Caenorhabditis elegans: one gene and its partners. The protein of the gene in region 1 interacts with the protein of each later gene in a pairwise test. Each region holds a gene or a part of one and is shown on either strand. Other genes may lie near its edges. The genes, in order: src-1, ina-1, ehs-1 and ced-2.

Region 1 (6,771 bases):
AAATTTTGGGTATACAACTGAATAATCTTGCGTTTTCAATTTAATTTAGGTATTTTAAAGTCGATGGACGGCGTGATTTGGTAGAAAAAATTAAAAATCTCCCCGTTCATCGACCTTAAAATGCCTAAATCCGATTGAAAACGCAAGATAATTACATTGTATACTCAAAATTTGACGGTGATTTCAAAAAAAAAAATAGTTTTCAGCCGCTTGACAAGTCGGTCAAATTTCAAATTTTATCAAATTTTAGGTCATTTTTTGAACCGTCATAACTTTTTTTTTTGAGAAGTTGGAGAAATTTCATTATGAAATTCGGTGTTTTCAGACAATTTTGAGTCTAATTAAGCAATAAAAAAAATTCGACTACACCACCTTTAAAACAGAGGTGGGCGGATATTTTTTCGGATATTTTCTTAATAATGAATTTATCAATAAGTATTGATGTAGTTATTCTGGAAGAAATGTATCCAAACCAAAGAGTAACTATTAAGCAACATTTTAATATGATAAAATTTAGAAAAATTCTACAAGTTTTCCTTACCGAGACCTTAAAACTTATTCGCCGAGCAACATCGGATATCGGATATTACGGATATTACGGATATCGGATAATGGACTTGCATATCGTTTATACAGAAAACTTGTAGAATTTTTCTAGGTTTTATCATATTAAAATGTTGCTTAATAGTTACTCTTTGGTTCGGATACATTTCTTCCTGAATAACTACATCAATACTTATTGATAAATTCATTATTAGAAAATATCCGCTCACCTCTGCTTTAAAACTCTTCTCACAAATAGTCCACTTTAATTATTCTATTTCAGACTAATTAATTTAATAGAGGTTTAGTGCTCTTAATCTGTGCTCTTTTTTTTGTTGATATTCTTGCAAAATTTCACTTATATAATACTTCAAACCACAAAAAAAAACAATGCAACTCACTCTTCACTCTCAATAGTCTGTTGCTTGGCAACAAAATTCCTCGGCACATAACCAGTCTGTCCGGTTCGTTGGTGTCGAACATACCACCAATCACAATTCGAATGATCCAATAGGTACATAGCATCGCCTTTTTGAAAGCTAAGATCCCCGTCGGCACGTGAATCGTATGGATAGAGGGCGACCAGAGTCTCACGTTCCTGTGCTCCTCCTCCACCACCACCACCACGTCCATTTCCCATCATTCCGTCTGATGTTCCGTTTAGTTGAGAGATGGTTCCCTCGTTTCCACCGTTATTCACGTGGAATACTGTCTGTTGTTGGGGCGTTTGGAATCTGCGTGGATATCTTTTTGGGTAATGGGGGAAGTGTACGGAAAAAAAATGGAAAAATAATTAAAGGTGGAGTAGCCACTGCAACTTTTTCCTCACGAGGGACGAGGAAAAGTGGTTTCTAGGCCATGGCCGAGGGGCCGACAAGTTTCAGCGGCCATTTATCTTGCTTTGTTTTCCGCCTGTTTTCTTTCGTTTTTCATCGATTTTTTTCGTTTTTTCTTAATAAAACTGATAAATAAATATTTTTTGCAGATGCTAAAACAATTTCCAAGTAAAAAAAATCATGTATTCAGTGGGCAAGCAGCGGTGAAAGTGGTCGATGTAATATGATGGATTACGGGAATACAAAACCTAAACGTTTTCTGAAACATGATACATATGCTGCTTAAATGCTGAGACTACCTGATTTTCATAACGAGACCGCTGAAAAAGTTTAGAGATTTTTAAAATTCAACATTTTGTGCGAAAATCTCTACTTTTTCACCAAAAACAATTGAATTTTGAAAACCTCAAAACTTTTTCAGCGGTCTCGTTATGAAAATCAGGTAATTTAAGCATCTAAGCATCATATGTATCATGTTTCAGAAAAAGTTTAGGTTTTGTATTCCCGTAATCCATCATATTACATCGACTACTTTCACCGCTGCTTGCCCACTGAATACATGATTTTTTTACTTGGAAATTGTTTTAGCATCTGCAAAAAATATTTATTTATCAGTTTTATTAAGAAAAAACGAAAAAAATCGATGAAAAACGAAAGAAAATAGGCGGAAAACAAAGCAAGATAAATGGCCGCTGAAACTTGTCGGCCCCTCGGCCATGGCCTAGAAACCACTTTTCCTTGTCTCTCGTGAGGAAAAAGTTGCAGTGATGGGGTCACAATGTCCGAATACCATGATAAAAAAATTCAAAAAAATTTTATATGATTTTTTGAAAATTAAAAAATGGTAAAAAAAAGATTTTTGCCTAATAATTCCTATTTGAATTTTGAATTACCCCCAATTGGATTTGTTCGGTGGAGCGCCGCGCTTGCACATTTTTTATTTTTATTCATTGTTTTTTTTTTTATATTTTCCACCGATTTTCCATGTTTTCAGTGTATTTTTGTCTGAAATTTGAAGAAAAAGTCGAAATAAATGCTAATTTTTGATTAAAAAGCTACTTCACAAGCGTAAATCTTTGAAATTAATTAATTCAGGTTTCGAAATCGTCGTTTAAATGCTTTTTAATCGAACATTTGCATTTATTTTGACTTTTTCTTCAAATTTCAGACAAAAATACACTGAAAACATTGAAAATCGGTGGAAAATATAAAAAAATAACAATAAATAAAAATAAAAGCGTGCAAGCGCGCTCCACCGAACAAATCTAGGCAAAACAAAAAATTAGGCAAAACTGAGATTTTTTCAATTTTCAAAAAATCATATAAAATTTAGAAATTTTTTTTTGAATTTTTTAACCATGATATTCGGTCATTGTGGTATCATAGGCATGTTTAAAAGCAATTTCCCCACTGGCGCTACTCCACCTTTAAAAAAAATATAATACGCGAATTGACGCGTTGTTAGTGCATTTTTAGGTGGGCAAACAATCAAATTTTTTTTATAGAAAAGGAAGTACATATATGAACATTCTCATGTGCATTAAAATTGAAATATTGAATGTTTAAAATTATTTAGTGCTCACTTTTTCCGAAAAAAAATATATATAAATAGAATAATCTCAGAAGAAAAACTATGGCATCATTTTTGCCCAAATAGATGTCTTTAAATGTTTTTAAAAAAAAAGATATATATATATATATATATATATAATTTTTTAAAGACATCGTTGGCATCTAATTGGGCAAAAATGATGCCATAGTTTTTCTTCTGAGATTATTCTATTTATATATTTTTTTTTTCGGAAAAAGTGAGCACTAAATAATTTTAAACATTCAATATTTCAATTTTAATGCACATGTTCATCTTAATACTATTTTCATTTTTAGGCTTAGAAAACAACATTGGCCTAAAAATAGCCTAAAAATAAAGCAAACTTTCTATAAAAAAAGACGGGACAGAGAAAATGATACATTTTTAAATTCTATACATTTTTTCCAAAAAAATACACTCGAAATTGTAAAAGAGTTCAGTCTCGATTAAAAAATTCCAGAAAAAAAAATTTCTAATAAAAACATTTACTACAGTAGGGATCTCGTTTTTTTTTTCAAAATTCTTTGGAACTCAGTAATGTCAAATTGCCGGAATTTGTTGGGATCGGGCACTTACTTGCTGAGAAAATGCCGAAAATCTAACAACTGTTGATCACTGCCGAATTATCGAAATGTGAAACGGGCAAATTTTCGGAATTGAAAAGTTCCGGCAAAACGGGGGATTTCCGCTCACCACCATGTAAATGCATAAAATATCATGCTTTATGTAGATTTAGAATAGCTAAATTTCCTATTTTAATTGAAAAGTCAATAATTTATGATTTTTTATCGAAAAATCAATGATTTCTAATTTTTAACTAAAAATCAATAATTTCAAATTTTTACCAAAAATTAAACCAAACCGGAAAATCGGTTTTTTTTCAAATCTGTATTTAATTTTTGCACTTTTTATCTAAAAAAAAAGTTGATTGTCTCCAAAAAAATAATACATTTCTCTATAAAATAGTTACCTGGAGACATCTATCCGTTCGGAAACACCCATATCACTGCCTCCCGATCGCCGCTCTTTTGAAAACAGGCAACCCATTATTTATTCTGAAAAAAAATTATTTCAGGAAAATGTTACTGGGGTTGCCTCGTTCGTTCGGCAAATCAGCAAATTGCCGGTTTGCCGGAAATTTTCATTTTCGGCAATTTGCCGGTTTGTCGAAAAATTGTTTGTGAATTTTTTCGTTTTTTTTTTTTAAATTTTTTTAACTGAAAAATCTCTGTCAATTTAATTTTTTTTTGACATTTCCACAACTGGAAAACTGCAAAAAAAGACTGTACAAGCAGAATTTTCAAACAAATTTCAAAAAATTTGTTAATTTTAATATATATTAAAATTTACAATTTGCAAATATCACGTGGTGCCAGCCTGTCCCATCACGGTTTGATCTACAAAAAATGCGGCAATTTTTTGCCCAAAAAATGTGACGTCAGGACGGTCTTAACCATACAAAATCAGATGAGAAGTCAGCGTCCCGTTTTCCCGCATTTTTTGTAGATCAACGTAGATCAAGCCGAAATGTGACACTCTGACACCATGTGAAATACTTGAATCGTCGCGAAATTCAAAAATTGTCAGGTTTTGTAATTTTCAGTGAAAATTTTCTGAATTTTCCAAAAAAACTCACACAAGACACCAGTATTTTTGTGCAAACAACAATTATTGAGCATGCATATGGAATGGTTGCTTCTTCTTCTTATTTTCGAGGTTTTTTTTCTGAAAATGAGGAAATTTTGGCGGGAATTTGATTTTAAAAAAACGAGATTTTAGAGGAAAAAGTGAAAATGGAGGGGTAGTAAATATGTTTTAAATAAACTCTGACGCTTGGAATTTATTCAGAAAAAACGCGAAAATTATCAATTTTTTGAAGAAATTTACAATATTTTCCCAACAGAATCAGTATTTTTGTATTTAAAGGTGGTGTAGTTGAATTTTTTTTTAAATTTCTTTAATATACTCAAAATTGTCTGAAAACATCGAATTTCATAATGAAACTTCTTGAAAACTTCTCCAAATACCGTATTTCCTCTATTAGTTTTGCACCCCCTCAATTTGTTCCCTATGTTTAGGAATTCAAAATTTGCATAATAAAATCGTTCTAAAAATTAGGAAAACTCTTACAGACTTGGTATGACAAGTCAAAATTGACAAAATATGAGTACAATTCGGACAATTTTTGCGTATCAGTCGTAAAATTCGTAAATTTTCGATCATAAGTTGTTATTGAAATTGATCATAACTTAATGGAAAACATGAGAAAAAACCTGTTCGAAAATTAGTTTTGCATCAAATTAGGTGTCCGAAAATTAGTTTTGCATGCCTTACTAATAGAGGAAATACGGTAAAAGTTATGGCGGCTCAAAAAATGGCCTAAGATAAGTTAAATTTTGAAATTTGACCGACTTGTCAAGCGGCTGGAAATTAACTTTTTTGAATTCACCGTCAAATTTTGAGTATACAATGTAATTATCCTGCGTTTTCAACTTCATTTAGGTATTATAAAGTCGATGGACGGCGAAATTTGGATAAAAAATTTAAAAAAATGTCGGCCATTTTTTGAGCCGCCATAACTTTTACCGTATTTCCTCTATTAGTAAGGCATGCAAAACTAATTTTCGGACACCTAATTTGATGCAAAACTAATTTTCGAACAGGTTTTTTCTCATGTTTTCCATTAAGTTATGATCAATTTCAATAACAACTTATGATCGAAAATTTACGAATTTTACGACTGATACGCAAAAATTGTCCGAATTGTACTCATATTTTGTCAATTTTGACTTGTCATACCAAGTCTGTAAGAGTTTTCCTAATTTTTAGAACGATTTTATAATGCAAATGTTGAATTCCTAAACATAGGGAACAAATTGAGGGGGTGCAAAACTAATTTTCGATTAGTGATTTTAGATGCAAAACTAATGGAGGTGCCTAACTAATAGAGGAAATACGGTATTTGGAGAAGTTTTCAAGAAGTTTCACTATGAAATTCGGTGTTTTCAGACAATTTTGAGGCTAGCAAAGAAATTTTCAAAAAAATTCGACTGCACCTCCTTTAAAAAAACTATTTTTTCTGATTCGGATCAAAATCGATATTTTTCGGTTTTTTTTTGTTAATTTTTCTATTTAAAATCCACTTTTTTTTTCCGATTTTCTTTTTAAAAAACACGAAAATCTGAAAATTGTGACAAATTTTTGTAAAAATCTTTAAAACAAATTTAATTTCTAAGAAAAAATTGTGTGAGTCACACAAAGATAATTTTGTTTTTTGAAAAAAAAAATGATAGTGTTAAACGGGAGGGCGAAATAGTGTAAATGACAAGAGGATTAGAGAAGAAAAAGTGGAAAAAAATGTGTGTAAGAGTTGAGGAGAAGGGAGAAATGGAATGTGAGAAAATGGAAGGTTTCCGTTTTTTTTTTCTCGTTTGAAAAGTTCATGAGAAAACGGATAGATTTTCCAGAAAAATGGGAATTTTGCCGTTTGAGAACTTCAGGAAATTGCCGATTTGCCGAAATTGCCGGAAATTTTCAATTCCGGCAGTTTACCGGATTTTTCTGAAGGGATTGTCTTCCGGCAATTTGCCGATTTGCCGGAAGATTTCAATTTCGGCAATTTGTCGATTTTCCGGAAATTTTCAATTCCGGCAATTTGCCGATTTGCCGGAAATTTCCAATTTCGGCAATTTGTCGATTTGCCGGAAATTTTCAATTCCGGCAATTTGCCGATTTGCCGGAAATTTTCAATTCCGGCAATTTGCCGATTTGCCGGAAATTTTCAATTCCGACAATTTGCCG
Region 2 (8,806 bases), on another chromosome or scaffold:
AAAAGTTTGATAAATTTTGTTACAAAACTTTTACAAAAACTTTACCATAAGGAAAGTTAATAGTAAAACATTTCTAGAAATTGCCACCATTTTTTTTTGGAATTTTAATAAATTCGACATCTCGAATGTTAAAAATGTTTCAGATGTAGTGGATATTTTGGTTTGAAACATTCAAATTTTTGGAATGTTTTGAAATTTTCAGAAATTAAAAAAAAAGAAAACTCTCCATCTTTTCTCTAATCAAAAATAAAAAAGGTTCTATGAATTTTTTTTGGTAATTTATGGGCAGTTGTCGGTTCTCTCTGTTTCACCCGTCACACTTCTTCCAATTTTCATATGCAGATTTTAGACGGGGGGCTTTTGCAATTTCTTTTTACGCAATTCCATTCCTTCTTTCCTTTTTCTCAGCTTTTTACTCAGTTTGTGTTCCATCTTTTTTTTGGAATTTTTCGGTCGCAGTTCAAATCAAAATCTAAACTCAATTTGGAATAGTCCTCATATTTTGAATTTTCATTCAAATTTTTTCGGAAAAATTCTCAAAAATTCTTTTGGTGACTTTGTCTGTCATATCCACTTGAATACCGCAATGGATACTGACATTTCAAGGTTGTATGAATGTCCTCTATATGTGTTGGATATAGATTCATATGTATGCATGTTTTGGTTTTTCATTGTTTCTTATTTCTGTATGCGTCACCTTTTTTTCATCTTTTGTATAATGTTGGAGATTATGCAAGCGATATATTATATAACAATTGTATACTGTGACGGAATTATAATGGATTTGAAAGCTAGCTTGACTATCAAGACTGTGAAGGTTGCGTAGAATTATTTTTTCAACGTTTCAAGAAATTTATGATAGAAACTACTGGCAATCTCTAATTTCCTGTCATTTCCAGCAATTTTCAAATCTACCTATATTTTGAAAATTTAACAAATTTCACCTTGTTTTCTATTATCCAGATAGTACTTTTTTGAAGAAAATCTTTCAAACCGGTGAGGTTTAAAATAGAAATTTTGAAATAAAATATCGAAATTTTCCATTCTGAATCGTGGTAACTTTCTGTACTCTCAAATAGTTTTAAGACGTTTTTCTCCAACAAATACTTGTTCTTCGAACGATATTCGAGCTTAAGACACAACGCTCCATATATATCTAGACTCCCCACTCCCATAAATTGAGAACCGCAGTACTGCTTTATAGTCTCGGAATTTCTGTTTTGTCTGGCGAATCGGAGGTTTTGTCTGGATGAGTTAATTGAAACATTCATCGTGCTCTTCTTCTCCGCTTCTTCTCTTCTTTTGCTCTTCCCGTCCGTCACTTGTATACTAAAAAGAGCAGAAAACGCAAGAGAGGCACACGTTTTGCTTCCATTCTTCGCACCCAATTGAATGCCTTCGCGTTGTGCTCTGAATCTTTTTTGCAAAAGAGGAGAAAGAGTGTTCACATATCTGATGAATTGAGAGTGAGCAGCGGGCTCCATTTTCACTTTTTTGCCGTTTCTAGCACCATATCTCTCCAGGGGATCGCGTATCAAAAATTCTCAGAGCGGTCTTTTGATGAAAAGCATCTAATTTGAAGTGGCCGGAAACTTATTCATTGGTTAGCTGGGAAAGTTTTCCTTTTTTTCGGAATTGTTCAGAATTAGAAAAAAAAATCTGAAACTCAATAGCGAAATTTCTGATTAGTTCATACATCATTTCACCTAGGATTAAGCATACTTTCTACAAACCGAAAACCACGAATTTATTTACAACTAGCCTCTTCTTCTGTATTTGTAATTTTTATTTCAAATTTATCAGTAAAAATTTTGGAAGTATTCCAAATTTTTAATAAACTAATTCTTTTTTCCAGATTTGCAGCACTGCAATTTTCAATTACAGATAATTTAAACATGAGTAAAATGAAAATTTATAGACAAAATCTTTTTTCTGTTGAGTTCCAAAAACTTTTTGACTATAGAAATTGCAAAATTATTTTTTAGAATTTTTTACTGTGGTGTTTGTTCATTGTGCATTAAAATAATTCTACACAGTTTCCAGTAATGCAAGTGCAGTTTCCAAAAAAATTCATGAAAAATTTACTGATCTGAACAATCAATTGATAATATACTAAAAATGTACATGTGTTGGCATTTTGTCTCATAGTCTATTCCTCTCTTTCAATATAATTCTCTATCATGCCCATCAATTTAATGTGTTCCCCTCGCCGTGTCGTCTGTGATCGTTACATTTTTTCCATATCATATCAAGGTCTTTCATCCTTCTAGTTCCCAATTTCACGATTGACCAACAGTTACGGGGTCAACAAGGCGGACTTTCTTTACCAAAAAGTTCTAAAAGTGCATCTTATGAATTTTTGAGAAGATGGCTCTGCACTTTCTGACAGATGCACACCACCTGCGTCTCCAATTTCATTTCGACCTTCTTGATTTCAATTCTATCAATTCAGTTGATATGAGTCACACCGTGTGATTCATCATTATATAAACCCCCGCAAAAACAATTAATATAAGTTTTTTCCCGTTGATCTGAAAATGAAAACACCTCTGGTGTGTAATATTTTTCAGATTCTTCTTTTCGGCTTTTGCTCCATTTGCTTTCATGTTTTACGATTTTTTGGAAAATTTTTCTCTAAAAAAATCTGGATTTTGAACTTTCCCTCTTTCAGCTGTCTTCTTGATTTTGTCCATTTCAAAATTCAACTTTCTAATTCCCAAATTTTCAGTCATTATTCCTCGAACGTACATGAGCAACAACTAACAGAACGAGAGAAAGCTCACCCGCCGAAACATGCGTGAATGTATAATTAGCTGGACACTACTCCTATGTCTCAGCTGTGTCAAATCGTTTAATCTCGATGTGAATGCTCCGATCTACAGGTATGGTCCCAGTGGGACCAACTTTGGATATTCCGTTGCTGAACATTTCAAAGGGGATAAGCCTGTGTAAGTAGATTTTTTTTTTAATTTCATCACAAAAAACAGTAAAGCTTGAGCAAAAGTTACTCAGCTTATGTTAAGGCTTAAATTTAGGTTTAGCCTTATGATTAGGCCTAGTCTCAGGCTTCCTGCTAAAGTTTTGCCCAAGCGTGATAGTTTTAGTTTTTGATGAAAACAGCGATTAACGCGTTCTTTCAAATTTCAGAATGCTGATCGGAGCTCCACGTGGCGAGTCTGGGCAAACGGGTACCGAACGAGCGGGTGCAATGTACGCGTGTGATATTAACACATTTTATAATGGTGGATCAAATCACTGGTGAGTACACATTTGAAAGAATGAGAGATATGAGGGAACGACTGATGATTGATGAGAATGAATTCAGGTGTGAACAGGTGCGATTTGAGTATGAAAACGTTGAGGATTATGCGAAACGACCCAACGAAACACGTGGCAGAACGGTGCATCCATTGGGAAAGAATGATCAGTTGTTGGCCTCAACGATTGTTTCGAAAGGAACAAAGAATGGTAGTGCTTTGGTGAGTAAAAAACTTTAATTTTCTGTGTTTAAAACCTTGGGATTTTGGCCTCTGGTGCTCCTTGCGTACTCACAGTACTCTTTATGCTTTCTGAATCAAGTATTTATAGGTGTGTGCTCCATTAATACGTTACCATCAAACTGCTGCATATCCACAAGGAGCTTGCTATGAACTTGAATCGAACCTTCGTCTTCAATCAACATACGCAACTTGTGCTCAAAAGAATCTTCCAACAACAGATCGTCACAACGAGTATGGAGGATGTATGGAAGGATTTTCAGCAGCAATTACTCAGGTAATTTTCATTCAACAAATAGAATGAAATCACTGAAGTTTAGTTTTGTGTTAATTTTAAAAAGATATTTTGATGAATATTTTTGAGTCGAAAGCATTTTTTAAATATTGCTAAAATTTTAGGATACCATCGTGACCGGACTCATTGGAGCTGTAAAATGGACTGGTGGTGTTTTTGCAAAGAAATCGTCAGCAAACATTTTCGATTCAGTCGTTGAAAAATACACAATGAATCAACCAAATGGAGATATGATTCGTACACGATTAGTTGCACATGATTATCTTGGATATTCTGTAGATATTGGAAGATTCGGTTTTTGGTATGAAGATGGAAAACCGATAACCGTAGTCTCAGGAGCTACAAGATACGGAGAACATGGAGCTGTAATATTCCTCCCGTTTATTCAAGATTCAAGTTCAAAACTTACTCTGAATGAAGACAAATTTATTATTAATGGAACTGCAATGGGATCTGCATTTGGGTATTCGATTGAAGTTGTTGACTTGAATGGAGATGGATTTGATGATCTAATTGTTGGAGCACCATTTGAACATCGATCTGGAATTGATGGAAACTTTGGAGGAATCGTCTATGTTTACTTTTCTCAAGGAGTTCAGAGAAAACAACATGAATCTCATCTAGTCTTCCACCCACCAAAGATTCTAAAGAATCCAGATTTCTACTCACAATTTGGACTTTCAATTACTAAATTGGGAAATGTAGACGGAGATAAAAGTAAACTCAACGACTTTGCAGTTGGTGCTCCATTTGCATTTGATGGAGCTGGAGCAGTTTATATTTATCTTGGAACTAAAAACATTGAAAAGTTCCGAAAGAAACCGGCTCAAGTGATAAAAGGAAATGATCTTCCAAATCTTCCGCCAGGTGGAATGAGATCATTTGGATTCTCACTTTCTGGAGGTTCTGATATGGATGAGAATGGATATCCCGATCTTCTCATTGGATCTCCTTCGAAGAATTTTGTTGCATTGCTTCGTTCTAGACCAGTAATAAGTATTGAGACCAAGCACAAAATGGAGAAGAGAATGGTTGATATCGACAAAGGTGTCAATTGTCCACGTGGAGCAAAGACTTGTTTCCCGCTTGATATGGTGATCTATGTGGATGAGGAAACAAAGAGAGGCGCCGAACTTGTCGATTTCTCATCTGATGTATTTATGTGTAATCTGGAAGCTATTCCATTTAGAGCTGACACAACGGCAAGAGGATTCATTGAAGGAAGTCATTCACACAATTATAGTTGGCCATGTGGAAGTAATAGTCACGTACAGAAACGAACTTACCGGCAGCTAATCTATTTGCCAGTTCAAGAATCAAAAGATTGGATTACACCTTTGAAGTTTAGATTTACTGTCAGCATTCGGTAGGTCAAGTTGTCTCGAAATCCCTTGAAAAAGTTGTTTCCTAAATTGTATTGTTAGACTCAAAACTCAAAAACCATGATATCATAATCAGAACTCAAATTCTCACATTTCAGAAACGAAAAGAAGCCTGTGCAACCACCACAAGGAAGCCAATTGGTCGACTTGAAGCACTACCCAGTCCTCAACAAATATGGTGCATCATATGAGTTTGATGTTCCATTCAATACGCTTTGCGGAGAAGATCACACTTGTCAGACTGATTTGTCATTGAAAGCCGCCTTCAAGGATATTCCACTGTAAGACTTTAAGATATTTTAGCGCTCAGAACTTGTGAGACAGCACTGTATTTACACCGAAAGTTTTTTAGAATATAGTAATCAAACTTCTTTTTTAAAATTCCAAATCAAAAGTCAACCCCACGTATGTTTTTTGCTTTCAGAACATCAAATGGATACGTTTCAAATGTCGGCGAAAAGGATTATCTGGACTTGACATTCACTGTGGAAAACAAGAAAGAAAAGGCTTATCAAGCGAATTTTTATCTAGAATATAATGAAGAAGAGCTTGAACTTCCACAAGTTCAAGGTTCCAAGAGAATGATTGCTGAAACAATTGGAAAGAATATTGTGCATTTGCCACTTGGAAATCCAATGAATGGAGCATCAAAACATCAATTTACGATCCAATTCAAATTGACTCGTGGAAGAACTGAAGGAATTGGAAAGGCACTCAAATTCATGGCACATGTCAATTCCACGTCACAAGAAACCGAGGAAGAGTTGAAAGATAATAAATGGGAAGCTGAAGTTCAGATTATCAAGAAGGCAGAGCTGGAGATCTATGGAATCAGTGACCCTGATAGAGTATTCTTTGGAGGAAAAGCAAGAGCAGAGTCTGAATTGGAATTGGAAGAAGATATTGGAACAATGGTTAGACATAACTATACAATTATTAATCATGGTCCATGGACTGTTCGAAATGTGGAAGCACACATTTCTTGGCCTTATCAACTCCGTTCTAGGTTTGGAAGAGGAAAGAATGCTCTCTATCTATTGGATGTACCGACTATTACAACAGAATTCACAGATGGAACAAGTGAAGTTAGAAAGTGTTTCATCAAACAACAGTACGAATATGTGAATCCTGCAGAAATTAAATTGAACACTAAATATAGTACTCAAGAGACTGCTCCACATCGGGTAGAGCATAGAATGAAAAGAGAAATTGATGAGGATGAGGAAGAACAATCAGATGATCTAGGAGCCGTGGAAGAGAATATTCCTTGGTTCTCAACAGCTAATTTCTGGAATCTTTTTGCAATTAAAGGAGGTGATGGACGACCTAGAGAAGTTAAACATTTGGTAAGTCCCTAGATTACAGTTTATTTGATTGATTTTTGATAAATGAATATTTCAGAGCTGCCAAGACAACACTGCCAATTGTTTCACCGTCATTTGCCACTTCGATTTCATCGATGCCAATTCTGCAGTAGTCATTGATTTACGTGCAAGACTCTGGAATGCAACGTTCATTGAGGATTATTCAGATGTTGAAAGTGTGAAGATCCGATCGTTCGGAAAACTTCAATTAGACGAATCACAAGGAATTGATGACGATCCGAATAACAATGCAGCTTTCGTTGAAACATCTGCTGATCCTGATAGGCCTACAATTGGTGGGTTTTTTGAAATGAGACCAACTTTAATATCTAATCATTTTAAAGTGATATACTAGTACGAATGTATTCATAAAAAATCATTGTTGAGGATATTCTAGCTTTAAAAGACATGCTCAAACCCCCAACTTTACCTTAATTTTTTCAGGAGACTCTCGACCTATCCCGTGGTGGATATACGTCATTGCAGCTGTTATTGGTGTTCTCATTTTGTCACTAATTATAATTTGTCTTTCAAAATGTGGTTTCTTCAAACGAAATCGTTTGGATCAGCCATCATTATACACTGCTCAACTCAAACATGAACGAGAAGAATGGGCTGATACGGGACTTTAGATGCCTCTTTATTTCTTTTTTCGACTGGATCTCTGTGATGTTTTATTCACTTTGTTTGTTTCCATTTATGTGATACCATTTTCCTGTTTTGTTCCCTCAATGATTTTCCTCCCAACTTCACTTTAAACATTTAAGTTTTTTTTAAATATTTAAATGTATGACATTTTTCAAATCTTGTAGTCAAGTTTATTGAAACCATCTTGACAAATATTTCACCGGTGCCATTTTCATGTTTTTTGTCAAACAAAAAGTGCTATAATTATTAATAAATTATTTTCAATTCCCTCATTCAAATTATAGAAATTGTGTATATAAATGAAATTTTTTAAAAAATCAGTTATCGTCATTTGTGGACTGTCGTTTGAGAAGCATCCAGGAGCTTCGTTTTCGTGGAGCTGCAGCTGTGAATAAAAAGAAATTAATCGACAACTCGAGGATATGACGAAACTCACCAACAAGCATTTTTGCTTGGTTTTTGTGTGTGATTTGAATGATGCAAGGAGGTTGCATCCATGGTTCCCCGTCAATTTGCATGGGAAATGATTTGTGTGTTCTGGAAATGAACAAAATTTTTGTTAAAGTAACGGCATTACAGAAAACCATTTGAAAGTATCAGAATTACTCAAAAATTGATTTTTTTTTTCAAATTCAACGATGTCCTAGTTATATTCCCACATTAATTCCATTTAAAAACTAACTGAATCACAACAGTTGAACATTGAGAAAGCCGTCTTGCTCCACGTACACCCGCTTTAATCTGTCCCATTTGCATTGCTGACTCCAATCCAACTAACTGAAACTTTTGGTTTGTTTTTGGAAGGATTTCATCTTAAACCTCAATGAGACCATCTCCAATATCTTGAACTCTTGTCTGTAATTGCATTTTCTCGGCATTTTTCATTGGGAACAGCCCAGGCATTCTTCCTTTAGATTTTCGACTCCTTCCCCATAAATTAGATCCTCCGTAAATTGATGGAATATTCAAAAGAGCAATTCCTTCAAGTGATGCATCTTGTCCAAGATCGATTGATTCTCCATCGCACTGAAAATTGGAAGTATTTTACTATAATATTTTTAAGAACTTACCAAAATATCAATTTGCTCGTGTAAGTTCTTGCAAGAACTTGATAGGGTCTCACTTGTACCTAACTCAAAGTACCACAACTTGTTTCGCATCCGGCTATTGAACTTTTCAGGAAACTTTTCTCTCATCACATGGAATCGGTGAGCAATTGAGGCGTCCTGAAATTTTTTTTGTATTTTTTTATGTTCAAATTTAGGTTTTTGGTAAGATTATTTAGTTTTTCAATAAAATATTTAAAATAACTCACCACTCCAATAGAAAAATAATTATTAATGATACTGTATGGTGGTGTATCTCCTTTTTCACTTGCTCTTCTTGCACTTTTATTCTCTGTTATTTCTATTTTAATCTGCCATCGATCCATATCAATTAGACTTGATTTTTCAATTTGTTCCAATATTTTATGCAAATTCTCATTTTCATATCCACCACCCCATCGAAGACATCTTGCCAAATCATTTCCAGTTCCCAATGGTAAAACTGCGACGGGTGGTCTTCCATGTGGAAATGTCATTTTATCCATTGATTCCAATACCCATCCAATTGTTCCAT
Region 3 (7,117 bases), on another chromosome or scaffold:
AATTATTCAAAAAAAGACTAGTTTTCTGAAGTTTAAACAAGTTCCTGATGATAATAAGTCAGTGTAAAACTACCAAATATTGCAAGAATAATAGGGATTTCAGACACCTTTTCAACTGAAGTGTGATTTAAAGAAGGAGTTAAGTGCCAATTCGCAGAATTGGAGGAACTTTTTTTTATTTTCGGCTGATTTGCTAATTTGCGAAAACGTTGGAAATATTTTTTTTATAGCAAGACACTGAATGGTGTGTATTCTTGAAATTTTTTCCTGTTTTCTTCAGATATTTTTAATCAAATTTACTCATTTTTATATCAATTCGAGAAACCTAGAATATGTCCAGTTTTCAAGTTCAAATCCAAATCTCATTCAAATCTCAAAAATTTCAACAAAAATTTTAAAAAACAAAGTTTGCCAAAAGTTTGAAGTTTCAGCAATAGCAGAATTTCCGTTTGCCAAAAAATATAGTACTATGTATAATTTTCTGAAATTCTAGAAATTCCGCCCAGTCGGGGCGCAACGGAAAACTGGACAATTTACATTGTAAGGGGTCATAAATTAATGAAAATTTCTAAAAACGATTAATTTTATTTTTATTTTCAAAAATATGATAAAATGTAAAAGTTCATTAAAAACGTCAAGACCAAACCACCAACATGAAGAGACTTGGAGTTGATCCACCATGTGGAGTTCTCGACCCAAAGGAAGCTGTGCTGTTGGCTGTTTCGTGTGATGCATTCGCATTTGGACAGGAAGACACCAACAACGACCGTATCACCGTCGAATGGACTAACACTCCGGATGGAGCTGCCAAGCAGTTCCGCCGCGAGTGGTTCCAGGGAGATGGTATGGTTCGCCGCAAGAATCTGCCAATCGAATACAACCCATAGGTTCCTTGTAAAATAAATATTGTTTAATGCCTGTGTTGTTTCTTTCTGTAAATTGAATATATATACACTTGTCGCTTATCCTCTAGATCAGCTGGCTTCGTCGCTTCGTTGTTTCTACAGATATTTCTTGCAAGAATCTTCCGATCGAATACAACCCATAGAACTTCTAAATAATTTTTTTCCTGATTCACTGGTTGCTGATTTTATAATTTGAAAAATAATATTGTCTACCATGTTTCCAAATTTCAAAATATGATATTGTGATATACGAACTTTCTTTGAATACTTTGTTACAGAACTTCCTCGCATGTATCATTTTGAGAAGAAGTTGTATGTTCGAGAGCCGTTTCTAGAGAACTAACAGAACGAATTTTTTAGATTTCAGAATTATCAACAAGATCATATGCAATGCCTTGAATTCATAGATAAGAGATGATGAAAGATGGAGCTGACTGCATTTGAAAGAACTTTCATTTTATCTATCTAACAATCTAACAATTATTAATAAACAATTATTCATTTTCATTGTTGTGTTTATCATTCGATTACTCGGAAAACATTTTTATTGCTCAAAATATATATTTTTCTAGCTAACTGGAGTAGTTTCAAAATTGCCATTCGGTTCAGGATAGGCGGTTTCAGGCTTACTTTTGTTTAATTAGTCCCAGGTCTTCGAAACTCAATGTTTTATTGTGTCCTGTGTTTCCCTTGATTTTCACTAAATTAATTCTGGGGACATGAGAAGGTAATCTTGGAAAATTGAAATAAACTACAGTACTCCTCAAAGACACGATTTTAAATTCAAAAAAATCAGTCGTGTCGAGACCCGGTACCGTATTTTGGGTGTTAAAATCGGAAAATTTCGCCAATGGGGATACGATAATTTGAGTTTTATATTCAAATTAGATGTATGATATAGGAAAACATTCCACTAACGGGTGTATTTGATTTATTTTGCTTGTATTTACAAATAATATATTTCGAATGCTCGCCTGTTTCTTGATATTGTCCTCGTGTTGTTCACGGCCGAAGTTTTTCACAATTATCAATAGAGCGCTTCTGAAAACTCGTCCGCGACAGTGAAAATTTTAATTTTCAGAATTAATTGTTTTTAATTTAACGATTTTAATTAATTCTCTCATTTACTGTTGCAAGATTTTTTAATGCTATCTGTTGAATATTTAATTTTATCACTATTTTCAATAATTACGATGTAGACGCTTTATTTGCAATATATATTGCAAACAATATTACAATATATATTGCAAACAATATTGCATTATACGCAGATTATTTTCTCCCGTTTTGACAGAATAAAATTAACTTGACAATGTGTGTGTAAACACAGTGACGACAAACTGCGACAATGAGTCATTCAGGTTTAGTCTTTTGCGAATTAGTTTATTTATAATAATTATATATTATAGGGTTATTGGGATATTTTTTTATCTCACCGTTAATGAAAAATGTTAAATATATTCCTGTTTCAAAAATTGGCTACAATTTAAATCAATATATTTGTTTTGTAATCATTATCATAGAGGGCCGGGACTCTTCCCACTGAAACTCAATACTTTTGCATATTTCACATTCTCTTCCTCCGTTGGTTCACCAAAAGAGAAAAGGGACCGACATGAAAAGGAAACGAAAGCTTAAAAGAGACGGAAAATCGATGTACTAGAGTGCTCGGAAGTAGTTGAGAGGCGCAGAGAGAGAGCTTTCATTCAGAAGACACACGACGTTATTCCTCGCAACGCCTTCTTCTTTTTAACAATCTTCAATACATTTTAGTGAACTTTCTTTTATTTCTGTTTCATTTAAAAATAGTCTTAAATTTCACTATATTTAATTTTTTTCTTTTATTATCTGGAATGTTTCAGCTTTCAACATGGATGATTCATACGCGATAGCTACACCGCACAATGATGTTTTTAATCACGCATTCGCAGAGGTAAATATTTAACAATTTGTAATACGTTAACAATTGTTATATTCCAGATGAACCCTCACGGAGCACCAAGAATAGGAGCTGCAGAAGCAGCTACTTTCCTTAAAAAATCAAACTTGGCGATGCCTGTGTTAGGCCAGATATGGGAGCTTAGCGACTCTCAAAAAGTTGGATCATTAGATAAGAGAGGAGCATTTGTTGCTTTTAAACTAGTCGCAGCTGCTCAACAAGGTAACTTTTATTACCTATTTGGAATCATATTTTGTTGAAAATACGATATGCTCAAAAGTAACCTTAACAGCAAAATATTTCAGGGAAGCCCGTCGCCAATTCTTCCCTCTACGATTCTTCCCTTCAGCCACCACGGTTTGCACCACCTGTACCACCAGCAAACATGCAGCATCATTTCCAACCATCGTTCCCATCGGTTTGACTGAAAAGTGGTTCCTCTATTTCTAAGTGTTATTATTCAGGTTGGCCGTGCTCCTCCAGTGCCACCACCACCACATCCATCACATCCTTATTCGATCTCTTCTCAACAATCTTCTCCAGCTCATCCATCGTCAGCTTTTCCACCACAATGGCCGATAACACCAACTGACCAGGTAGCAAAAACTGAGAATTAAAAACTTTTAAAAAATCTTTCTATTGGCACGAATAGAGAATTGACAGTTATTTTCCTTTACAGATTTGATCAAATATTCTTGTAATTATTTCAGGCTAAATATGACTCCATCTTCCAATCATTGAATCCTGTAAACGGAAAATTGTCTGGTGCACACGTACGCCCGGTTCTGATGAACTCTGGACTTGATGCTCATGCTCTGGCTCGAATTTGGGAACTTTCGGATCAGGACAAAGATGGAAACCTTGATCGAATCGAAATGTCTGTTGCACTTCATCTTGTATACCGATCACTTCAATCAGACCCGGTTCCTGCACAGCTCCCACCAAATCTCATTCATCCTTCGAAAGCAATGTATGCTCACAGCTCACCGAATTTCGCTGCTCCTCCACATCCTCCACGTCCGATGATGGGATCGAGAGCAGGATCTGTGACGTCATTGGATGATGTGAACATGAGTCAATCGTATTCTGCAACGATGCCACGTGCATATCCACCACAACCAGGTCGTGCTTACTCTGCACAGGCTCATGTGAATGGATCACGAACCAGTGGTGCATCAACTCCGATATCTGCTTCTCACTCGATTCACTCATTTCCTGCTGGTGAATGGCCTATCAATACAGGAGATTATGCTGATCAATTTGCTCAAACTGATACGAATAAGGATGGATTGGTTGATGGCATGGATATGAGAGCTCCCATGATGACTACTGGATTGAGTGCACAGATATTAGCACATGTCTGGGCATTAGCAGATATAAAAAAATGTGGACAGTTGAATTTGGAGCAATTTGCTTTGACGTAAGTCTTTCAAGTTTACCAAATATCTAGTGTAACTAAATATTAATTTTCAGAATGCATCTTCTTGACATGGCAAAACGAGGCGAGTCCATCCCATCAGAACTGCCTTTACATCTGATTCCACCTTCATTCCGCCCACCTACGGAACCTTCAGCTTTGCATCATCCTGCTCAATCAGTTTCAACTCCACAGCTCCCAGAAGCAACTTCGATGGAAATTAAAGAAGCTTTGGAAGGCGAAAACGAAGAGATGAAGCAGCTCGCAGAGTCTATTCAATCAATGCTGGTGGAGCGGAAAACTGCAGAAGAAGCTGTTTTACAACTAGAAGCTGATATGACTATTAAGAACTCGAGTATCAAAAATCTGCAGGTTGAATTGGCCACCTTGGAGTCGACAGTTAAACAGTTGGAGCGACAAAAAGGTGAAGCCACACGAAGATTAGCTGATTATGATACTCAAATAGAACAGTTAGAATCAGCATGTAAAGCACAGAAAGAAACGAAAGAAGATACCGAGAAACGAATGCAACAAATTGATGAAGATGCAAAGAATGCTGAGGACTGTAAAGCAAATGATGAAAAAGAAATGGAAGAATTGAAAAAAGAAATTGAAATGCTCGATAATCAATTCAAAACTGTTCGTGGAGAAATTGTCAAAGAAACATCACAAAGAGAGCAAAAGGTGGCCGAATTGACAACTCTAGAACGAAAAGAAGCAAGAGATCAGATACAAATGGAAAAGCTGGATGCTGCAATCGAGAACACGACAAAACTAACAGAACAAGTATCAGATGCAGTCGAAAAATCCGAGGAGGAAATGGTTCAAATTCTGAGGTCGCAACAACGATTATTGTCTACTGTAATCGATCAATCGTTGCTATCCGATGACACTGTTTATGGAGAAACAGCTGGAACATCATCTCAAAATCATGTTCAACAACCACCTGATCCGTTTGCATCCGCCAGAGCAAGTAGGTTTATATTTTTAAGAAACAAAAAGAGTTATGAAAACTTTTATTCTGACTTAAAGTTTTGAAATATGAATATATAACATAAATTCAATTTCCAGATCCTGCTGCTGATCCATTCGCCCAAGTAGATCAGTTCGGCTCATCTGGACATTTTGATGCCGCTTTCCCAACTGATCCATTTGCTCAAGGAGGCTTCCCATCGGATTCTGGCTTCGCACAATCGGCTCCCGCAAAACCTGCTCCACCTCGCCCAGCTCCTCCAAAATCTGCTCGCGAAACACCTGTCAATGATCCTTTTGCGTAAGTCTTAGTGAGTATCAATTTATTTAAAGTCTAAATAATTTCAGCCCATCACAAGGACAATCAACTCAACCGGCTGGATTCGCTGATTTTGCGGACTTTGGATCGGCTTTCAATTGATTTTTAATAATTATACCTTACCCACTATAAGCCCCAACGCCAGTCAAATTGTTTTACTTTGCCCAAATGTTTACCTGTGCCAAGTCATCGACATAATTTATTGATGCACATTTTTAAGATTAGTTTTTTTGCACTTTCCCACTTGAATTGTCACTTTTCTAGGTTATGAAATCAGAGCAATAATGTTATATACTGTAGAATATGAATATGCATGATTATTATGTAAATTATGAGTTATAATATATAGTAAATGATTTGCAGATTAATTTTATGTTGCGTATTTGATATTTTCAGTCTCATGTGTAAAAACGGAGCACAAGTAAACGGGTTGAAGGGGGGGAAGTAAACCGTAAAAGAAATTGATAAGGAAAAAGGAGAATCACAGAAGTTTGAAAATAATAGTGAAAAAGTTGTGTGAAGAAGACATAATTATGCTAGAAATCGAAAGAAAATACAGATTAGATGTACAAGAATGTTCGTGTCGGATTTACATACAGTGGCCAGTATCCTGAAAATAATAATCGCTATATTAGAATTTATTTATATATTACTGTTTACCTTCAATTGTGTCAAATAGAGTTGTCGTTTAGTTTCTATAGTCTTCTGAGGGAACGGATTCAGTTCGTTGAATGCCACTTGAGCTAGCGACTTGAAGTCAATGATATGTTCTTGAGCTTTGCTGAGACATTGATGAACTGTGCCTGAAAATTCTTGTTAAAAAACTAATAAATTTAAAGTTGTAAGTCACAAACCAATAGTTTTACATTGAAGAACGTGAGGTTCGCATATTTTGAAAAGTGCCAGTGCGAATCGAAAAAGAACCTTATTTCCTTCATAGAGGAATGCATCGAATATAGTCAGATAAATAGAATGCGGGAGTACATCTACAAAACACGTCAGGAACCAACTGAGCGCGAAAAGTGAAAGATCAACTTCAAGAGCTCTCAAATGTGCAGCCAATTTTGGAAGCTTTTCTGCTACAAGATCGCGGAGAACTTTCTGATCGGCAACCGCTCCGATCAGTGAGCTAGTGTAATATCCTTCAGGTTGGAGATGTTCCACACATGCTACAAGGAACCAGAACGAATCCTGCTCATCCAGGTTTAACAGAGCAATTGCAGCAAGACGATTGAGTCCTTGGCAGTAGCCGACGTGAGAGTTATGGTATCGGAAGGCGTAGAGTACGTTTCGTAGTTTTTCTATGTTAGCAGAATCTGGCTCGTCGAAAAGTTTATTCGTGGGCAGAGTTCGAGCGAGGTCAAGATCAATCTGAAAAAATAATATGAGAAACTCGAATTTAGAATAATATAAATATACCTGTTTGATGGCTGCATCGTAACTTCCATCCTGCTTCTTTGTTCCAGCCTTTCTGAGCATACTTTGATAGTATCCATTACCCAATTCTGCTTGCTTATCCTTCACCCAATGTGTCACAATTATCTTCCATACACGACCTCTGTAGG
Region 4 (8,687 bases), on another chromosome or scaffold:
CTTAAAATGAGCTTTTTTTTCAGAAAAATTAATGAAAAATTGAAGATTTCCGCAAAAAACTGTGTTTATTTTCAAAATTTTAAATTTTTTAGAAAAAAATTTGGCTTGAAAATACCGTTTTTGTGTTATATTGAAGTTTCTCGTCGAAAATTACTGTTATTTTCGAAATTTTAGCTCATTTTTGAAAAATTCTCGCAAAAAAAATTGAGCTTTTTAATGGAAATTTGCGATTTTCTAGAGAAATTGTTGAAAAGCTCAATTTTTGGGAAAATTTAGGCTTAAAATGAGCTTTTTTTATCGGAAAATAAATGAAAAATTGGAGATTTTCGCATAAAACAACACATATTTTCGAAAATTCGGCTTGAAATGAGCGTTTTCAACGACAAATTGTTCTAAAAAAAACGAATAAAAATTGAAGATTATCGAAATCCCCAATTTTTGGTTTGAAATGAGCATTTTTGATGTAAAATTGCTTTGAAGACTCAAAAAATTAGTCAGAAACTCGGATTTTCAAGTTTTCGAGTAGAAAAAAAAACAGAAAAGCGTTATCAGCAAATTTGAGCTAGAAATAGACGAAAAATCCCGTTGTTTAAATTTTTTTTGTCGATTTTTAAGTAAAAATCGCACGGAACATCGATTTTCCCGTGTTTTGAAGACTCAAAATCTCCAAACTTTTGCGATTTTTGATTCAAAAACTTGGGTTTTCTTGGTAATTCTTCCTTCTTTTTTCTCCATTTTCACTCGAATTTCGAACCTTGAAGCATCGTTTTGAGTCGATAGAAATGCTACTGGCGCCATTTTCCACGAAATCAAAGACCGGATAAAGACATATATCGGAAATTGTGCCGACAACGAGCCCATATTGAATTTCCGGCTCAAAAACGCCTGGCTTGATGTTCACCAGCGACACCTTCAGAATTGCAGCGTCTGATGAGTCGAAAAACGCCAAATCGTCGCTGAAAATTCGATTTTTTTTCGGTATTTTTCGGCTTTTCCGCTTACTTTGTCTCGTAATTCCACATATAGAGATTGTTATCAATGACGACCCAAACTCGGCTGATTTGTGTGAAGAATCCCATGCTAAACTCGCTGTGAATATCTGAAAATTCACCAATTTTTCGCTGAAAAACCCCCCCATCGGAAACAATGCTCTCTCACTGCTCATTTGCATTTGAAGCTCTCCGGGTATTGGGATTCGCCGTGTGCTCACAAACTCCGGCGCTCCCTTCACATAAAACTTCTCGCCGAGACCGGAGACGGGCGTCGTGCCGTGTTGTGTGAGGCGATCGAAGAAATCCGATGTCTCCATCATCTGCTCGACGTGGTGTGCCACCTTGTTCGCCGCCGCTTCTGCCGAGTCGGCCGAGCCCAACTCCATAAACGAGACACTCATCTCGGAGGATGGAAAGCTGCTGAAAAAGTCGGAAAATTTTGAGTGATTTTTGATATTTTAACCTTTAAACTTGAAAATTATAGCAAAAAACTGTAAAAAACCCGGAAAACTTCCCGCAAAACGCAACTTTTCGCGCAAAATTCCGAATTCAAATTGCAATGCGGCGCGGAAAAGTGGGCGGGGTCGCGTGTTGCAAGTCCCCCGCACACCTCATCGTGTACTCCTCTCGGACAAGCGCAACAGCTGACAATTTATTTTTGCGTGCAAAAAAAGTCGTTTGTTTGCAATTTCTCACCAGTTTTCGGAGATTTTCTTGATTTTTTGCGGTTGCGCATCGTAAAATACGTATTTAAAATGTGTAAACTTTGGCTCCAGTCGACAAGAAGCTTATGAGTCATTGCCTGGGAAAATTGCTCATCAATTTCCTCATTTTTACGAATAATTGGTGTTTCAATGCGTATAAAAACAAGAAATCGGTAAATTTAGTATGAAATATATTCGAAAATAAAGGTTTTAAGCGTATTTTTCAATTTTCTTCTACTAAAAACCGAACTTTAGCCTAAAAACCTGCTTATTCTGCTCGAAATTCTCGATTTCGCCATGTTTTCCAATTTTTTAACACAGTTTTTCAAAAAAATTCTTCATTTTTCCCATAATTTAGCCGAAAAACTCAACTATTTTGCCCTCTTTTTCCCTAAAACTCGCCATTTCCTACCAAAATTTGAAAATTTTCACTGTGTCCAATCGATTTTTCTTCCTAAAAGTACCATTTTCTCCAATGTTCATTTATTTTTCAGAAATTTTCACTAGAATTACTAGATTTTCTGTGCCAAAACCACGATTTTCAGCAATTTCTTTCTTTAAAATCTTATTTTTTGCCATTTTAAGGTACTTTTCCAACGAAATTCCTGATTTTTTGATTTTTCCACGCAAGTTTTGGCCGATTTTTAACTGATTTTCAGCATTTTTTCAGCCAAAAAAACATCCATTTTTGTTCATTTCCTGAATTTTTTAAATGGAAATTCCTTGATTTTCTTGGAAAATCACGCTAATTATTATTCAATTTCCAACTTTTTCATCCAATTTTCTGCCTATATTGACTCGTTTTCCTTTAAAAAATCGAATTTTCACCCGTTTTTTCACATTTTCAGCAATGTTTAGGTTGAAAATCATATTTTTATTCATTTTAAAATATTTTTTCCCACGAAATTCTTGATTTTTTTTTTGAAGATTTTTGCGTTTTCTTCTCAAAGATGGTGATTTTTGGCCGATTTTCATAAATTTTCGCTCTCAAAAACAAGATTTTAAGCATTTTTCAGCCGAAAAAACTTTCCCCTTTTATATAATTTTTCTTGATTTTTCGTCTTTTTTTTCTGGATTTTTAGGAATTTCTCGTGATTTTTGATGATTTTCCGTCTATTTGGGTTACGTTTTCCAGAAAATTTTCCCAACTTTGACCAATTTTGCGCGCCTAAAAATTCCACGTTTCTAAACAATTTCCCGCATTTTCAGAAATGACGACAAACGGGTTCGATCCATTCGAGTGGCGTTCATTCTACTTCCCAGGAATGAGCCGTGAAGAGGCTCACAAGTTGCTCGGCGAGCCACAAGTATCGATCGGCACCTTCCTAATGCGGGATAGCTCACGCCCCGGTGAATATTCACTGACAGTACGTGAAGCCGACGAGGGAAATGCCGTTTGTCATTATTTGATTGAAAGAGGAGAACCGAAAGAAGATGGAACTGCTGCAGCTGGCGTGAAAATCGCGAATCAGTCGTTTCCAGACATTCCGGCGTTGTTGAATCATTTTAAAATGCGAGTTTTGACTGAGGCAAGCCTGCTGGCCGCCTACAAGAAGCCTATCATTGAGGTTGTCGTCGGAACATTCAAATTCACAGGGGAACGAGAGACAGATCTTCCGTTTGAGCAAGGAGAGCGGCTCGAGATTCTTTGTGAGCTTTAAAGCAGCACTTTTTTGATTAAAGGTGGACTAAACCCTGTGGGGAACTTGCTTTATTGAAATTTAAATTTGCCCATCGAAAACGTCAAAAATTAACTAAAAATCTCAATTTTTCGGCGATTTTAATTGAGAAATGGCTTGAGAAAGTGGTAAAATTTGGCAAAACTTGGTTTTTAATAGTTTTTTTTTTGCATTTGGCTTCAATTTCCCCGAATTTTCAGATTTTTTAATCGAAAAAGTGCTCTTAAAGCTCACAAAGAATCTCGAGCCGCTAAATCAGTGGATTTTTCGGGGATTTCACGAGAAAATTGACATTTCTAGTAGTTTAAATGGCATTTTCCGAACCTTTGTTCTTTCTTCTCTAAGAAGTGCTCGAGATTCCAGAAATTGATTTTTTTTCCAGAAAAAACGTTATAATTGTGAGGAAATCGACATTTTTTCTTGCATTTGGCACTATTTTCTCCGAATTTTTAGATTTTTTAAAGGCGGACCCAGTGGGGAAATTGCTTTAAAACACGCCTATGGGGCCACAATGACAGAATATCATGATTAAAAAATTCAAAAAAATTTCCCTGATTTTATATGATTTTTTGAAAATTGAAAAAAAATCTCAGTTTTCACCTAATTATTTTTGAATTTCCGCCAATTGGATTTTTTCAATGGAGCGCGCTTGCATTATTTTCATTAATTTTCAAAATTTTATTTCTTCTCATTATTGGACTGATTTTCTTCATTTTTTGGAGTTTTTCATCGGAAAATGGAAGAGAAATAAACAAGAAAAATGCAAATTGTTTGTTAAAAATTAACTGAAATTTTCTAAAACTGTGATTTCTTGAGTTCTGACAACGACAAGCCTGAAATTAGTATATTTTACAGTTTTACGCATTTTCAGTTACTTTTAAAAAATCATTTTGCATTTTTCTTGTTGTTTTCTTCGATTTTCCGATGAAAAACCACAAAAAATGAAGAAAATCAGTCCAATAATGAGAAGAAATAGAATTAATTAATGAAAATAATGCAAGCGCGCTCCAACGAACGAGTTCAATTGGCGGAAATTCAAATAGGAATTAGGTGAAAACTGAGATTTTTTCAATTTTCAAAAAATCATTTAAAATCATAAAAAAAAATTTTGAATTTTTTAATCATGATATTCTGTCATTGTGACCCCATAGGCGTGTTTTAAAGCAATTTCCCCACTGAGCGTAGTCCACCTTTAAATAATCTAAAAATACGGAGAAAATAGTGCCAAATGCAAGAAAAAATGTCGATTTCCTCACAATTATAACGTTTTTTTCTGGAAAAAAAATCAATTTCTGGAATCTCGAGCACTTCTTAGAGAAGAAAGACCAAAGGTTCGGAAAATGCCATTTAAACTACGAGAAATGAGTTTTCTCGTGAAATCCCCGAAAATCCACTGATTTAGCGGCTCGAGATTCTTTGTGAGCTTTAAGAGCACTTTTTCGATTAAAAAATCTGAAAATTCGGGGAAATTGAAGCCAAATGCAAAAAAAAAACTATTAAAAACCAAGTTTTGCCAAATTTTACCACTTTCTCAAGCCATTTCTCAATTAAAATCGCCGAAAAATCGAGATTTTTAGTTAATTTTTGACGTTTTCGATGGGCAAATTTAAATTTCCGATTGTTACCATGTTAGTGAGAAAATGAGCAATTTTCAGTAAATTTCCACCCATTTTCTCCTGTTTTTATTGGAAAATGGTAAATTTTGACTGTTTTTCAAGAAAACCAGAAACTTTTGGTAAATTTCCACATTTTTTTAATCCAAAAAGCCGCAAAAATGTTAAAAATTTACGTTTTTCAATGGAAAAATGCGATTTTCTACAAAATTCGCCTAATTTTAACCCGGTTTAGTAGAAAAATGCGAAATTCAGTGCATTATGACTATTTTCCTAATGAAAACAAGAAATTTCAGTCATTTTTACTATTTTCAACTGGAAAATGGAAAGTTTCTGCGAATTTCGACTGTTTTTCACGAAAAAACAACAAAATTCGATCAATTTTGCCATTTTTTCACGAAAAAAACTTTTATTTTATGAAAAAATTCAAAAACCCGGACTCATCGTTGTGAGACCCTGTCCACCCACCCCACTGCGCCTTTAAACTTGTGTCGATTTACGCGGTGTTTTTTTTTGGAGAAACTCTATTTTCGGACGAATTTAAACTGTTTTTAAGGCAATTTTTCACTTAAAACCGCAAAATTATCTGAAAAATAAAATTATAAACGAATTTTATAATGGAAATACGAAATTTTACCTGTAAAAACCATAAAATTTGAAAAAAAAACCGTGTTTTTTGATTTTCTCCCGTTTTTCTCAAGATTTTGTGCATTTTCCAAGTTTTTTTCGGTAATTTTCCTCGAAAATACTAGATTTTTAATAATTTTTTTTTTCCAGCAAAAACGAACCAGGATTGGTGGGAGGCGAGAAACGCGTTGGGAACCACTGGATTAGTGCCGGCAAACTATGTACAAATTCAGATGGAATTTCACAATGACAGAACCTCAAAAGGCGCCAGTCAATCGTCGATCGGAAGCAGCGGAGGTGGCGCCGAACGATTTTCGAGCGCCAGCACGAGCAGTGATAATATTGAGCTCCAGGTGTGGAAAATTGCCGGAAAAATCCACAAATTTCAGATTTTTTGCTGAAAAATTGCGTTTTTTAGTCAATTTTTGACATTTTTCGATGGGAAAATTTCGAATTTCGAGACGATTTTCCTTGTAAATTACAGAATTTTAATGGGAAAGTTGGATCTGAAATTTCTCTTTAAAAATTTGCTCAATTTTTACCGTTTTTAGTGAAAATTCGGTCATATTTTGAAATTTTCACTGAAAAAAAAATGGAAATTTCAGTCAATTTTTAACATTTCTAGTGGAAAAATCGAAAATTTCCTAATATTTCGACCATATTCCAAGAATAAACGAAGCATTTCAGGCAACTTTGACATTTTTTCACGGAAAACACCAATTTTTAGATTTTTCTATTGGAAAATGCGAAATTTCAGTCAATTTCCATCTTTCTAATGAATATTCAATGATTTTTTATTAATTCTAGTTGGAAAATGTCAAATTTCAGTGAATTTCGGCTGTTTTTGTCAAAAAAAAACGAATAATTTCGATCAATTTTGACCTTTTTACTTAAAAAAACTTTTTTTTTTTCTCAAAAAATTTAAAAATCCGGCTCATCGCTGCGAGACCCTTCCACCAACCCTACTGCGCCTTTAAACTTGTGTCGATTTACGCGGTGTTTTTTTTCGGAGAAACTCTATTTTCAGGCCGTTTTCAAGTTATTTTCCACCTAAAATCTGCAAAATTAACTGAAAAATGAAATTATTAACGATTTTTATCATGAAAAACATCTCCTAAACCGAAAAAAAAATTCAATATTTCAGCCCCGTCTGCCAGCAAAAGCCAAAGTGACGTTCGATCGTGTCCCAAACGCCTACGATCCGACCCAATTGCGTGTGAAAAAGGGGCAAACAGTGCTTGTAACTCAGAAAATGTCCAACGGAATGTACAAAGCGGAACTCGACGGCCAAATTGGCTCGGTGCCTCATACATACCTCAGATTCACCGCCGTCAGCGAATAAAATCGTTTTTTTTTTCTAAATTTTTAACCTTGAAATTTATTGATTCGCTTGCCCCTCCACCAGTTTTCCTCTAATACATTACAGCTTTACCATAGAAAAAAATCGTTTTTTTTTCCAAATTATATTTATAATGATATCATGCACAATTTTCGTTGCCTTTTCCGCCCACCGAACCCCAATTCGTGTCCATTCCATTTTGTTCACTTTTCCCTTTCAACCTGCCGGATGATTAATAAACCGTTTTAATTATGATTTTTTCGAATTTTTGTTGGAAAATGAGGTGCTATAGAGCCTCTGAGAGTACTTTTTAAGAAAAAAATGTCATAATTTTGGAGTTTTTTTCAAAGTTTTGAAAATTTACTTGAAGATTTCCAGCAAATTGCAAAAAAATCCGATTTTTCGACGTATTTTGGTGAATTTTCGGCCTTTTTTTTTCGAATTTTCTCTGAAATTGCAATAAATTCTGGTTTTTCAGGCTAAAAAACGGTCAATTTTTTCTATTTTCAACTGGAAAATGGAAAGTTTCTCTGAACTTCGACTGTTTTTCACGAAAAAACAACAAATTTTGATCAAATTTGCCATTTTTTCACGAAAAAAACTTTTATTTTATGAAAAATTCAAATACCCCGGGCCATCGTTGCGAGACCCTTTCACTCTCCATACTGCGCCTTTAAACTTGTGTCGATTTACGCGGTGTTTTTTTTTTGGAGAAACTCTGTTTTCTGTCGAATTTAAACCTTTTTCAAGCTATTTTTCACTTAAAAACGGGAAAATTAACTGAAAAATTAAATTATAAACGATTTTTAACGGTTTAGTGCAGTTTTTTAAAATAAAATTTCAGAAAATTTAGATTTTAAAGCCACATTATCGAATTTTGCCGATTTTTTCTCAGATTTCTATTGAAAACCCGCCGTTTCCTCTTAAAGCTGAAAGATTTTCCCCAAATTTGAACCATTTTCTCGCAGATTTCGCCTAGAAATTCGAATTTTTGGGGCAAAAAATATAATTTTCCGAATTTCGTCTGAGATCCCGCCTAGAAATGTGAAAAATTTGATTTTTTTTTTTGGATTTCAGTAGAAAAATGTTAAAAACTGGATTTTCTCCCGAATTTCGATAATTTTGTTACAGATTCCGCCTAAAAATGTGATAAATTCCGAATTTTTTCACTAAAATTCTTAATTTTTTAGAAATTCAGATAATTTATAGTTTTTTTTTCAGAGTTTTGAACAATTTTCTTCAAGATTTCCATTCAATTGCAAGAAAAAAATCCGATTTTGTATGAAAAAATCACAAAAAAAATTTGAAAGCTCGGCGTATTTTTCTCGATTTTTCTTTGAAATTGCTATAAATTCTTGTGAATTTTTTAGTTAAAAACGGTTTTTGTGAAAAAAAAAACCAACATTTTTTCGCAGATTTCGCCTAGAAATTCGAATTTTTGAGGCAAAAAAAATTACAATTTTCCGAATTTCGTCTGAGATTCCGCCTAAAAATGCGAAAAAATCCGGATTTTTTTCGTGGAAAAATGTTGAAAAATGGATTTTCTCTCGAATTTCGACAATTTTCTGATAGTTTTTTGTTTTTCCGCCTAAAAACTTACAAAAATTTCAAATTTCAGATAATGAATTATGAGAAAATTGATAGCACAATTCCCGGGCCAGGAATCTCTGAAACCGACTGGAATGACGTATTCGAAGGATGTAACTGCGAGGCTGAGTGCTCTTCAGCCGCCG

What was found.
Region 2: the proteins of src-1 (region 1) and ina-1 interact in a two-hybrid assay, tested with the Caenorhabditis elegans proteins (one study listed by BioGRID).
Region 3: the proteins of src-1 (region 1) and ehs-1 interact in a two-hybrid assay, tested with the Caenorhabditis elegans proteins (2 studies listed by BioGRID, with this or other methods).
Region 4: the proteins of src-1 (region 1) and ced-2 interact in a two-hybrid assay, tested with the Caenorhabditis elegans proteins (one study listed by BioGRID).

Annotation. Positions count from the first base shown.
Region 1 is NC_003279.8:1,564,855-1,571,625, reverse strand, and holds the start of src-1 (Tyrosine protein-kinase src-1), read right to left. Parts: upstream 4,018-6,771; coding exon 3,941-4,017; intron 1,290-3,940; coding exon 945-1,289; intron 1-944. UniProt on the Caenorhabditis elegans protein: Non-receptor tyrosine-protein kinase which plays a role in endoderm development by controlling spindle orientation in EMS blastomere, probably downstream of receptor mes-1.
Region 2 is NC_003281.10:9,166,725-9,175,530, reverse strand, and holds ina-1 (Integrin alpha ina-1), read left to right. Parts: upstream 1-2,728; 5' UTR 2,729-2,793; coding exon 2,794-2,948; intron 2,949-3,147; coding exon 3,148-3,258; intron 3,259-3,325; coding exon 3,326-3,479; intron 3,480-3,588; coding exon 3,589-3,774; intron 3,775-3,896; coding exon 3,897-5,158; intron 5,159-5,272; coding exon 5,273-5,455; intron 5,456-5,598; coding exon 5,599-6,520; intron 6,521-6,575; coding exon 6,576-6,834; intron 6,835-6,982; coding exon 6,983-7,170; 3' UTR 7,171-7,458; downstream 7,459-8,806. Other genes in the region: dgk-3 (putative diacylglycerol kinase 3), read right to left, coding at 7,504-7,571, 7,623-7,723, 7,869-7,963, 8,006-8,212, 8,257-8,412, 8,502-8,806. UniProt on the Caenorhabditis elegans protein: Plays a role in cell migration, axon fasciculation, and morphogenesis. During gonad morphogenesis, involved in distal tip cell (DTC)-mediated guidance of gonad elongation, in maintaining their sharp tapering morphology and in their migration.
Region 3 is NC_003280.10:5,817,945-5,825,061, forward strand, and holds ehs-1 (Eps15 (endocytosis protein) Homologous Sequence), read left to right. Parts: upstream 1-2,767; 5' UTR 2,768-2,775; coding exon 2,776-2,838; intron 2,839-2,885; coding exon 2,886-3,066; intron 3,067-3,149; coding exon 3,150-3,262; intron 3,263-3,308; coding exon 3,309-3,440; intron 3,441-3,554; coding exon 3,555-4,264; intron 4,265-4,317; coding exon 4,318-5,234; intron 5,235-5,332; coding exon 5,333-5,534; exon of another isoform or gene 5,535-5,581; coding exon 5,582-5,654; 3' UTR 5,655-5,918; downstream 5,919-7,117. Other genes in the region: ZK1248.4 (MSP domain-containing protein), read left to right, coding at 654-887; tbc-2 (PH domain-containing protein), read right to left, coding at 6,142-6,162, 6,213-6,355, 6,407-6,923, 6,972-7,117.
Region 4 is NC_003282.8:1,594,413-1,603,099, forward strand, and holds ced-2 (Cell death abnormality protein 2), read left to right. Parts: upstream 1-2,905; 5' UTR 2,906-2,907; coding exon 2,908-3,346; intron 3,347-5,765; coding exon 5,766-5,968; intron 5,969-6,759; coding exon 6,760-6,957; 3' UTR 6,958-7,209; downstream 7,210-8,687. Other genes in the region: npp-8 (Nucleoporin_N domain-containing protein), read right to left, coding at 755-956, 1,003-1,099, 1,159-1,393; putative histone-lysine N-methyltransferase set-23, read left to right, coding at 8,576-8,687. UniProt on the Caenorhabditis elegans protein: Required for cell migration and engulfment of cell corpses but not for programmed cell death/apoptosis. Has a role in the migration of the 2 gonadal distal tip cells (DTCs).